2 linked regions of the Nothobranchius furzeri genome follow. The protein of the gene in region 1 purifies or fractionates together with the protein of each later gene. This does not show direct contact. Links are inferred from orthologs where the notes say so. Each region holds a gene or a part of one and is shown on either strand. Other genes may lie near its edges.

Region 1 (5,129 bases):
TCGCTGCAGCACAGGATGAAGCGGAGGTAGGAAATCTAATATAGATTCATTTGTAACCTTTTCCTTTGTTTTCTGTTACTCTTTGACATAATTGGTTGAGTTGATGTTGCATCTTTGTTCTAATGTAGAAGGGTGGCATTCGTGTGAACGGCAGAAAGCTGTTGATCGTCACAGCCGTGAGCAGAGACGACGCCACGAAGCTGAAGGTGGATCAGAAGAAAGTACAGACGGGCAGCAGGAACCTGTACCTGGCCCGAGAGGGATGTGCGTGTGTCATGCTGCTTGTTTTTCACTCATCTCTCTGATAATGTGACACTATTTTAATCTGATTAACAGTTATGCTGAAATGCTTCAAAATTTTTTTTTACGTTCTTGTCTGAATCCTCAGTGATCCGTGCTGGAACCAAGGCAGCAGAGGGCGTATCTGAGTTAGACATGATTAAAAGAACCAGAGTGAGTACATGCCACACATCATTTCTTGATATGAACGATCAGTTTCAGTCTTAAATTCCCCCTTTTTCCTAATTGTTGGTGCTTTTTTGTTTAGTTTGAGGAAGTAAAGAGGGCTAAGCTTCGGGACATTAACGTGTTTGTGTCGAAGACTCGTCTGTGCATCCATAACCTGCCCAAGTCGGTGGACAATAAAAAACTCAAAGCGCTCTGCCTCCAAGCTCTGAAAGGTGTCAAAGGAGCGTGGATCACAGAGGTGAAATTACGGAATGTATTTAAATTTTAAATATAGATTTGTGATCTTGGGCTGATCCTGTGCTGCTTCTTTTAGTGCCGAGTCATGTACGACAAGAAGCCAGAGAAGGGTCAGGTGACGGGACAGTCGTTAGGCTACGGGTTTGTTCAGTTCCGGGACCATGAGCAGGCTCTGTGCACTCTGCGCTACCTGAACAACAACCCTAATATCTTTGGCCCTCAAAAGGTAGGTTTGTATCATTTTTAAATTACGTGTTTAGGCTTAAATTATTCAATTTTTTTAAAACATCATAGCGATTAATTTGCAAAGTCAAAATATGTCATTTTTCCTCCTTATTGTAAATCAAAGATACAAGAACTTGTGGATCTACCCATGAAATCAGCATCGTTAGTCTAAAACAACTTCATGTTTTGTGTTTTCCTACAGAGACCAATTGTTGAGTTTTCCCTGGAGGATTCAAGGAAGCTCAAACTCAAAGATATCCGAAAACAAAAACAGAAGGTATGTTTTTAAAGTTGTTTTGGGATGGTTTACAGCTTCAAATCTCAGTTTCTCAATAGAAACATTTATGTTTGCAGGATTTCCTAAAAACTCGGTCTCTTAAGGGGGAAACAAAGAAGTCCCAAATATCTGCAGAGGTCAAAACACAAACAAAAGGTGGAAATAAAGCACAGTCAGAGCACACAGGTAAGGCAGGAAGTGGAACAGAGGAATTGTCCAGTGACGTTTGTGCTTCGGTGACATAACATTCCTAATATTTGCATAAGATAATAAATCCATTCAGTCGTTGTGCAAAAACTGTTGAAGTGGTTTGAAATTAAAGCTCTTGGTCATCGTTGTCTAAAATCAGTTTAAAATAAAAAGTTGGTAAACCCTTATTATGTTTTGCTCACTTTTGCAAATTTTTTACAAGTGTGCACGTCACATGCAACTCGTCTTTTTAATAATGAGATAAATAAGAGTCCACATGGCATTAGTAATAATTATATATTGTTTATTTTCTTTAACAGAAGAAGAGAAACAAATGAAAAAGTTTTCAGGTTTTCAGACCAAACCTGAGGTCGAGCATGTGGATTTACAAAATGGAAAGAAGCGCAGGAGGGTTCTGCCTTTTCCTTCTCACCGGGGACCAAAGATCAGGTACATAATTTCTAAACTCTTTATAAGTTTGTGTTTATCTTTATAAAACTCTCAATAAATACTATAATTGAACAGCTTTTATGAAGATTTTACTAAGATAAATCTGTTTTATGTGTTGTTCTCTCTTTTGGTCTACATGCTGATTACAACAGACTAATGCATTCTAAAGTCAAAAGTAAACCGTTGATTTTTATTCTTTGCAGAAAACGTGACAAAGACAGGAAACAGGCCCCACCTGCTAAGAGTCCAAAGCCTGGAGCTAAAAAGAACAAACAACCAAGACAACAAACAGAAAAGCCGAAGCAACCCAGAAACCAGGTTGAAATCATTTCTATTGTGTGATTTATGTTTAGTTTTTTTCTGAGAGCGTCATAACAAAACATGTAACGCACAGGTTTTCCAACAGTACATTTACCAGGTATCAAATCATAAATGCTTTTTGGCTTTTAATGTTCAGATTAGAGTTTAAAATTGAAATATAGTTTGTGACGGTTTTTTGCTTCCAATCCGAGTCGTTTGATTTTGAGTCTCTGCCCCTACCGAGTCCCGATGCGATACTTTTCAGCAAAGCATTAAAATAAGAAGTAAAGAGGTTTTTTTAGGAGTTACACTGATAGACAAACATGTTAATATTATGAATATATTTAAAAGTAGCAGCATTGCTCATATTTCAAGTTGTTTAATCCCTCAATATATGGATGTACTGAGCGATGCACGTTTTCATAATGGCGCAGGAGCCCGGCGCCATGCCAGCAGGGTAACGTTTTCCTGCAGAACATTTGTAACCACCGTGGGCATCTCAGGTGCTACAGGGGACTGGGAAAACACAATGCTTAACAGCCTGTTGGCAATTGTTCTTTGATTATTAGCGTGTCTTTCACTGTCGGCTGGCTCCACGTTCATCGCAGTGAACTGGGACTGTTATTGGGAAACTGGGACTTAATGGAGACTGGTGATTTTCTTTGGTGACACCTAAAGGGAAAAGCTTAAAGGGAAAGTAGTTTGTTTTGAAGGCGGCGTATCAGATTCATAGTGTTGAACGCAGCTCTACATTTTCACCAAATTAAATGCTCAGATTGCACACATCACAAGTGTCTGTGACACTTCATCTGAGGCCAGTTTAAAACGCCACCAGAATAAAGACATTTTCACGCTGCTGAGGAGACACGTTAGCTCTGCGTTAGCCAGCTAACAAGCAACTACATGTTATGGTGTCTGAATCCCTGTTTGCTGTAATCGTGTGATGTTACAGTGTTGTTTTCGTCTAAGAAACAAATAATATTCATGTAGAGGAACTTGTTGGAAATAAAACTAAATCTTTGTTATTCAGTTTGAAAATCTCTTAATCAGGATGAGTTTTAAAAGTCATGTTTGTTGTTTTAAAAGCTCAAATACAATCGTTTAAAATCTCACGATCGGATCTGAGCATCCCAAGTTCAAGATGTTACATAGATTAAGCCTTAAACACACACCACTAGTCATTAATTACAGGTAGTTATCCACTAACTGTTTGACGGGTTTATAGAAGTTATTCATTTAACTGAAAATCACGGATAAAATAAAAATCTGGAATTAAAAAGTACAGAAAATGTTTCTTTGAAGTTTTTTCCTTTTCTCTTGAATCATCTTTAAAAATATTGAACAGCAAAATTAATCTTGAACTTTCTATGGACGAGTTATCTGATAAAAGTAAGCTTAGCCATGAGAAGTTTTGTTTTTCAGATTGGTTGTGTGATGCCATAAGAATGTAAATATTCAACAACTAGACCATTTTAATGGATAATTTTCAAGATTAAAAAATTGGCAATTAAGTAGATTTTTAGTTAATTTAATTCCTTAAGTGTGAAACCTTCTTATTTCTTCTGTTTTGTGTGTTTTCAGGTCAAAGTTGCTAGGAAGCAGTTTAAGAGGAGGGATGGAGACCGTTTTGAGTCTCTGGTGGAGCAGTACAAAAAGAAACTGATGGGCAGCAGCAGCCAAAACAACACAGTTAAAAGAAACAAGTGGTTTGATAACTAAATACCAGAGTTTGAGTGAGAATAGTGGTCTGTAACTTTAAGATTTAACAACACAAAACCGCTTTTATGTGATAAACTGTACAGGAAGTTATCTCCATATGTTATGTTTCATTCAGATCTTTTCAGTGATTTTTAAAGCAGTGTCAGTGTTTTACCCGTCACTGCAACAAGTAGATCATGTAAAAATGAGTTTTTGTGTACATGTCTTTTTAAAATATATATAAATGAGAAAAAAAAGTCATTTGTTTCCAGGTATTCACGTCATTTATTATTCACGTTATTCTATTGATCCGTTTACGTGGACGTTTTCTACACAACACCGACAACGAGGGTTAATATTGCATCAGTTTTGTTGCAAAAGTTACATAAAACAGAACCAATTGAAGAAAAACATATTTAACCTCTTTGGTTTTAAATAGTCAGTTTGGAGCACATTGTTATTGCACAATAGGGAAAGTTGCCCTTTATCCGACTGGTTCCTTTGGCTCTATACAAACACATCTGCTGATAATAAAACATTCCCACCTGGATCACTGGAAAGTCCAGGGATGAGAGTCCTGCTCACATAATTTCCTCTGCGGTCAGTCTTCTTAGTGCTGAATCATCTCAAGTTGACTCAACAGAGGTAACATAAGACATATTCACAAATATCCTTATGTGCAAAATATATATTAAACAGATTAAATATTGCAGTTATGTAGCTAAAAAACAGTTAGGTGTTAAAATACACAGAATAAATAATTTATGTATGAAAATAAGTGCATGTTTTTCCAAAACCTTGTAAAAATATCACTAAACTCAATTCAGACGTTGATCTGTGTCCATTTTTCAGCATATTTCTAGAAGATCCGGGTTTTTGCGTAGCTGACCGAGGACCTCCTTCACTCTCATAAGAGCCACGATGCTCACAGTGTGAACGAATCGTTTTTGGTTCTGCAGGTGCTGAACGTTGGTCGTGCTGTCCGTTGGTACCAGAGGCTTACTTGGCTGGTTCCTGCAGTGCTCCAGTCTCCACTGATTGATGTAATTTGTCAGATCGGAGATTTCAGATTTGACTTGGGCGACGCCATCAAAAGTGTCAGAGATCAGGTTGTTGTAACCCTTCAGGGTGGCTACTATGGAGGCAAGTCCTGCCAGTTCTGTACTGGGTGGGCTGAGTGTCAGGTTGGGAGGCATCTGCAAAAACGAGCATTATTTAGTCCAAAACAAAGCTTCTTTTTATAAAAAAGCACAATTTTATTCATGAATACCTGGAAGTTTTGGGT
Region 2 (4,858 bases), on another chromosome or scaffold:
TTTAACAGTTTTTTAAAACACAAACCAGGTAAAACACAGATAGTTTTACTCTGCCAACAACTCAGTTTATCAATTATGTTTCAGGGGACAAATAAAACATTCTGTTGACCTCACTAACGGACACATCTTTAAGTCGAGGAACTCCGCCTTTGCAGTCGCTGTCGGCCCTCTGGCCTTGTGCGAATACATCTGTAACACAAAAACAAGACAAAATGTACACTAAATATTTAGTTTTTAAACTGCTATTTGACACTTATTCCTTTCATAGATAACAGCTGGGATGCTATCAGACCTCACCTGTGATGTTGTCCACAGAGTCCAGTGGAGCAGTGTTGGTCATGTTTATCCCAAACAACACCAAAAATGACACCGATATTGCAACCAGCAGGTAGATTGGCATTGCAAGAGCCCAGTATCTGTGCAGAACAGGGAGTTTTTGTTAGAAATCCCAAATGCCAAATGTCGGTGGGAAATCTGATCTGGATTTTAAAGGTGATGCAGACTTTTGAGGCCAGTATGTGAGTCCAATTGAATGCAGCCACTCCTCTGGTATAAATGCCCACAAGCAGTACAGAACTGTGGAGAGGGAGGAGAAATATAGTTATTATTTATCTTCAGTCCCTTAAATCACAATTACTCAGTGAGTTGGGAAACTATAGCTAGCATTTGACTTTAAAGAGACTGCAGGCACTGATTTATGTCAGCAGGTCATGATGTGCATTGAGGAATAAAACATACGAGAAGCTAAATTATCATAATAAATAGCCTTTCTTCTAATAGAAATAATCTAACCTCACATTCAAATGTGTGATTAGGAGTTTAATCAAATAACATTTCTTTAAACAGTCGAACATTTGTTTAAATTGAACACGGACACTAAATAATTAAACTTAAACATGGTCAATCAGTCATATGATGGCTGCCATAAAGGTAGAAAAGAGCTGCCACAAAAGCAGAGATGTCCAAACAAATAGAACTGTTTTTGTTTTAGGGGCATTGCTGCTTGGACGCTAACCCTGACACCACACATGGGAGTTGTGAAAAAAAATTAACAAAGGTGTATCCTTTAAAGTGTTGAGATCACCGCTGTGTTTTGTCTTCCATCTTTACTTGTGTCAGCTTTTAAAAACACAAGACAAACGTAAGATTGTGTATTAGCTAGGATGAATATAAAAAATAAAACAAAACACTACAGACACATTTACAGGTAAACATAAAGATCATTTACTTCTGATTTTATACAGGAAGAACAGTCTTGACCTGTCACCTAAAAGATGCGTTCTAGTGTGTGTGTGTGTGCAAAACAGAATAAAATAATTATTTTTGACTTACAGAAACCAAACTGTGAGCCAAGGAAGAGAACAAACCCATAAATAGCTCTCTCGGGGACAGGAGACGGAGAGTTTTCAACCATGATCTGAAACCAAACAGGAAGCAGAGGAAATAAGCAAGCAACACAAACCAGAGTCTAAAACATCCTTAAATACTTCTGTCATCTTACCTCAGTTCATAAAATTTCCGAATTTTCACAACATTTGTGCCCCTACGTTTCTAAATAACGAGTAAATAAAGCTGGATTTCTAAAATAATACTAACAGGAAACATTTCCAACAAAACCTAAGAACAGCTGCGAGTTTGCACCAGCGTTAGTTCGGTCGGAAAAATTTCCCGGGTAAGCAGTTCCGCTTTTGATACACTAGACAAAAATATGACATCAAATTAAATTGTTTGAAGATTTACTAATTTATATGATTTAGTACATATTTACAGAAAATAAACATTTGAATATTAGAGTGCTTTCAAACTATGTAGAACGTTTCATACTGGGATGTCTTGTTCATATCGGACCCATTTGGCTGTTGCTCAGCCGGGAAAACGAACGCAGCATGGCTTCGGAATTTGCGAACTGAACGCAGAACCACGTTTATCTGCTGTTCTGTAAAAAATGAGCTGCTTGTTTACGTTAGTGTTTTATTTTTGATGCAGATTTTTGGTAAGGAGACATTACTTTAAGTGACAGCGGTAACAGCCATTGTCTATTGTTTTTGAAATGTCAGCATGGCTGACAACGTTTAGTTTAACAACTTCTTGTTAAAAAACACTTTCCATAATGTCTAAGGCGAAGAAGAAGAAAGCACATTCTGACCCTAAATCCACAGCTAAAGTTAAGAGGAAGGAGTTTTGGATAAAACACAACTCGAAAAACAAATTTCAGAAGATTTCAGCTCCTCAGAAGCACCAACCTCACCTGCCTACACCTCCAGAGGAGGCTCAGCAGTTCTCCTCTAACTGGAAAGCTCTCCAAGAGGTTTGTCTGTGCATCAGTGTGATGCTGGTGTGTATTTACAAAGTTAATCTGATTTTTCTGAAACCTTCCACAGATGCTAAATGCCAGTAAGCCAGAGAAGAAGCTCCCTGTGTCACCCAAACAGAATGTCTTTCCAAAGAAAACTTTAAAAAATATTCCCAAGACTCCCAGTGAAAAAGACAATGAGACTAAAGTCAAGCACACAGTTGCTCCTAAATTTGCCATTCAAAAGGAATCAGAGGTGAACTCTGATGTTCCAGCTGCCTCCAACACTCCGCAGCCAGCTGCTCCTAAAAGGAAACGGGACAAAGGAAAGTCCAACAGCGAGCAGAAAGCCAAGAGGAATAAACCAGTGGTAGAGGAGAGGAAGCCTACAGAGTGTGTACACCGTACTGATTTTAGAAGACATTGTGGACCAGAGTAGTTTTGTATTCCTAACTCTTTATTGTGTTTTGTTGCAGGGACGATCTTTGGTTCGATGATGTAGATCCTGATGATGCTGAGGAGACGTTGGGAGCAGAAGCTGCAGAGATCCTGAGGAGGAAACAGGGCAAACACCAGAGCAAAGACACAGAGAGCATGCTGGTGAAGGAGAAGTGTTTTGAGGGGTGAGTAGCTGTAAAAACAAGCTTCCTCTAGTGTGAACGCTGGACAGGACTTTATTTCCAGGATATGACTGACCACACGTTGTGTGAAACATTTAAAGTTTAAAAGGAAATTTTTTCAAGTTTGGCGCTAAAAGCTAAAGTGTAGTCATTGGTGGACACCCATTCCAAATTCATTCCTTAAATTTTGGATTTATGACTAGAACCACAAGTACTAGAATAGACTGTGCTGAGTATCAAAATAAATACTAAACCCAGGACCTTCTTGCTGCAAGGCAACTGCTCTATGTATACACATTTTAAGAAATAAAAAAAGAAGTAAAATAAAAAAATCTAGTCGAGCAGTGATGGGAATAACAATGTTTAAAATAACGGCATTACTAAAAAAATAGTTTTTTTTAATAACGAGTAATCTAATTATCGTCTTCTTTTATCATAACGCCGTTTACGTTACTGATAAGAAAATGCGAGCGTTAGTAATTCAGCAGCGTGGTGTGTTGAAGCTGTCAGCTGCTCGGGAGCTGAAGAGGCGGATGTTTTAATCCAAGTGCATCACGACCCGTGAAGAACGAGGAAGACGTGATGAATAGTCTACGGCTGCAGATCCGCAGATTCGCTGCTGCAGGCGTGAATCTGCAGCCGTGCCCTTCTTGCCGTGACAGCGGGACGTCCCGAAGGTCCGCTCACCTGTTCACCGCTCGGACATCACGATCTTCTACCTTCCTAGATCACCCAACTGTAACTTGTTTCTGCTCATTTCTTTAGCCCTGCTGTAACACTGATGCATCAGTCTCAGACGTCATGGTGCTCAGGTGTTATTAGAACTACCTGTGTGTCTTTACCACCCAGCTTCTGTGTTTGGGTCTGATCCAAATTAGTAAATTTAAGTCCTCCATCAGATTTGTGCCACTTCTAGTGCCATTTTAAAGGATTTATTTATTTATTTAACCATTACTAGATTACCAGCAACAGAAATGCTGCTAAAAACACACAATCATGTCAAGCTGGAAAAATGAGAATATTTTGCAAAATTACATTTATTACAGTAATTTGACTAGACTGAGAGACCATTTAAAGGCTCAGTAACCTTTACAGGTGTTTCTGTTTGCAATTATAAACTTTAGCTGATTGGGGTCTGGTTAAATATCACACAGTGACATTTTAATATTCTAGATTGGTGTAATATTCCTGTTTGTAGTTCCTCCTGTTAAGAGCCCATTTATTTAAATGATCCAGTTTTATAACAAACATTTGGACATATAATTTATTATGTTCCAGTCATTAGTCAGTTATAGTTTAGTATTGTAGTAATTTATAGTAAACTAAGTAAGTTTAATTAAGAGGGGAACCCATTTATCTTGCATTCTTTAATGAAAAAATGCAACAAAAATTTTTTTTTTTGGTAATTAGTTACTTTTATAATCTTGTAATTCGGTAAGTAACTGAGTTATTTTTTTGACAAAGTAAACAGTAACTATAACTAATTACCTTTTTAAAGTAACGTTCCCAACACTGGACATAGGTACCTACTGATGCATTTTATTTAAAATTTACTTGCCCGTGTGTAATTTGGTCATACCAGATTCAGTATTTATGCAAAAATAAGGTTGTTTCCAAATGAAAAGGTTCAACAGCTAGATCTGAGACCATGGTCTTGAGTCAGAAAAGGGTAGAATCCCTTTTCCGGGTCAGGGATGAGGTCCTGCCCCAAGTGGAGGAGTTTAAGTATCTCAGGGTCTTGTTCACGAGTGAGGGAAAGATGGAGCATGAGATCGATAGGGGGATTGGTGCTGCGTCTGCCGTGATGCGGGCATTTTATCGATCTGTCGTGGTGAGAGAGCTGAGCCAGAAGGTGAAACTCGATTTATCAGTTGATCTATGTTCCTACCCTCAGCTGTGGTCATGAGCTTTGGGTAGTGACAGAAAGAACGAGATCACGAATTCA

What was found. The genes of interacting proteins can lie anywhere in the genome.
Region 2: the proteins of rbm28 (region 1) and rexo4 purify together in Homo sapiens (affinity purification with mass spectrometry; 3 studies listed by BioGRID and IntAct, with this or other methods). This does not show direct contact. The link is inferred for Nothobranchius furzeri from reciprocal best matches to the Homo sapiens genes RBM28 and REXO4.

The regions. Positions count from the first base shown.
Region 1 is NC_091744.1:71,909,751-71,914,879, reverse strand, and holds the end of rbm28 (RNA-binding protein 28), read left to right. Parts: coding exon 1-26; intron 27-128; coding exon 129-264; intron 265-388; coding exon 389-453; intron 454-547; coding exon 548-706; intron 707-781; coding exon 782-931; intron 932-1,132; coding exon 1,133-1,207; intron 1,208-1,284; coding exon 1,285-1,393; intron 1,394-1,716; coding exon 1,717-1,846; intron 1,847-2,049; coding exon 2,050-2,164; intron 2,165-3,727; coding exon 3,728-3,865; 3' UTR 3,866-4,105; downstream 4,106-5,129. Other genes in the region: leptin-like, read right to left, coding at 4,693-5,040, 5,115-5,129. UniProt on the Homo sapiens protein: Nucleolar component of the spliceosomal ribonucleoprotein complexes.
Region 2 is NC_091756.1:33,914,903-33,919,760, reverse strand, and holds the start of rexo4 (RNA exonuclease 4), read left to right. Parts: upstream 1-1,869; 5' UTR 1,870-2,110; coding exon 2,111-2,308; intron 2,309-2,381; coding exon 2,382-2,686; intron 2,687-2,769; coding exon 2,770-2,916; intron 2,917-4,858. Other genes in the region: pigp (phosphatidylinositol N-acetylglucosaminyltransferase subunit P), read right to left, coding at 74-189, 298-416, 504-576, 1,333-1,414.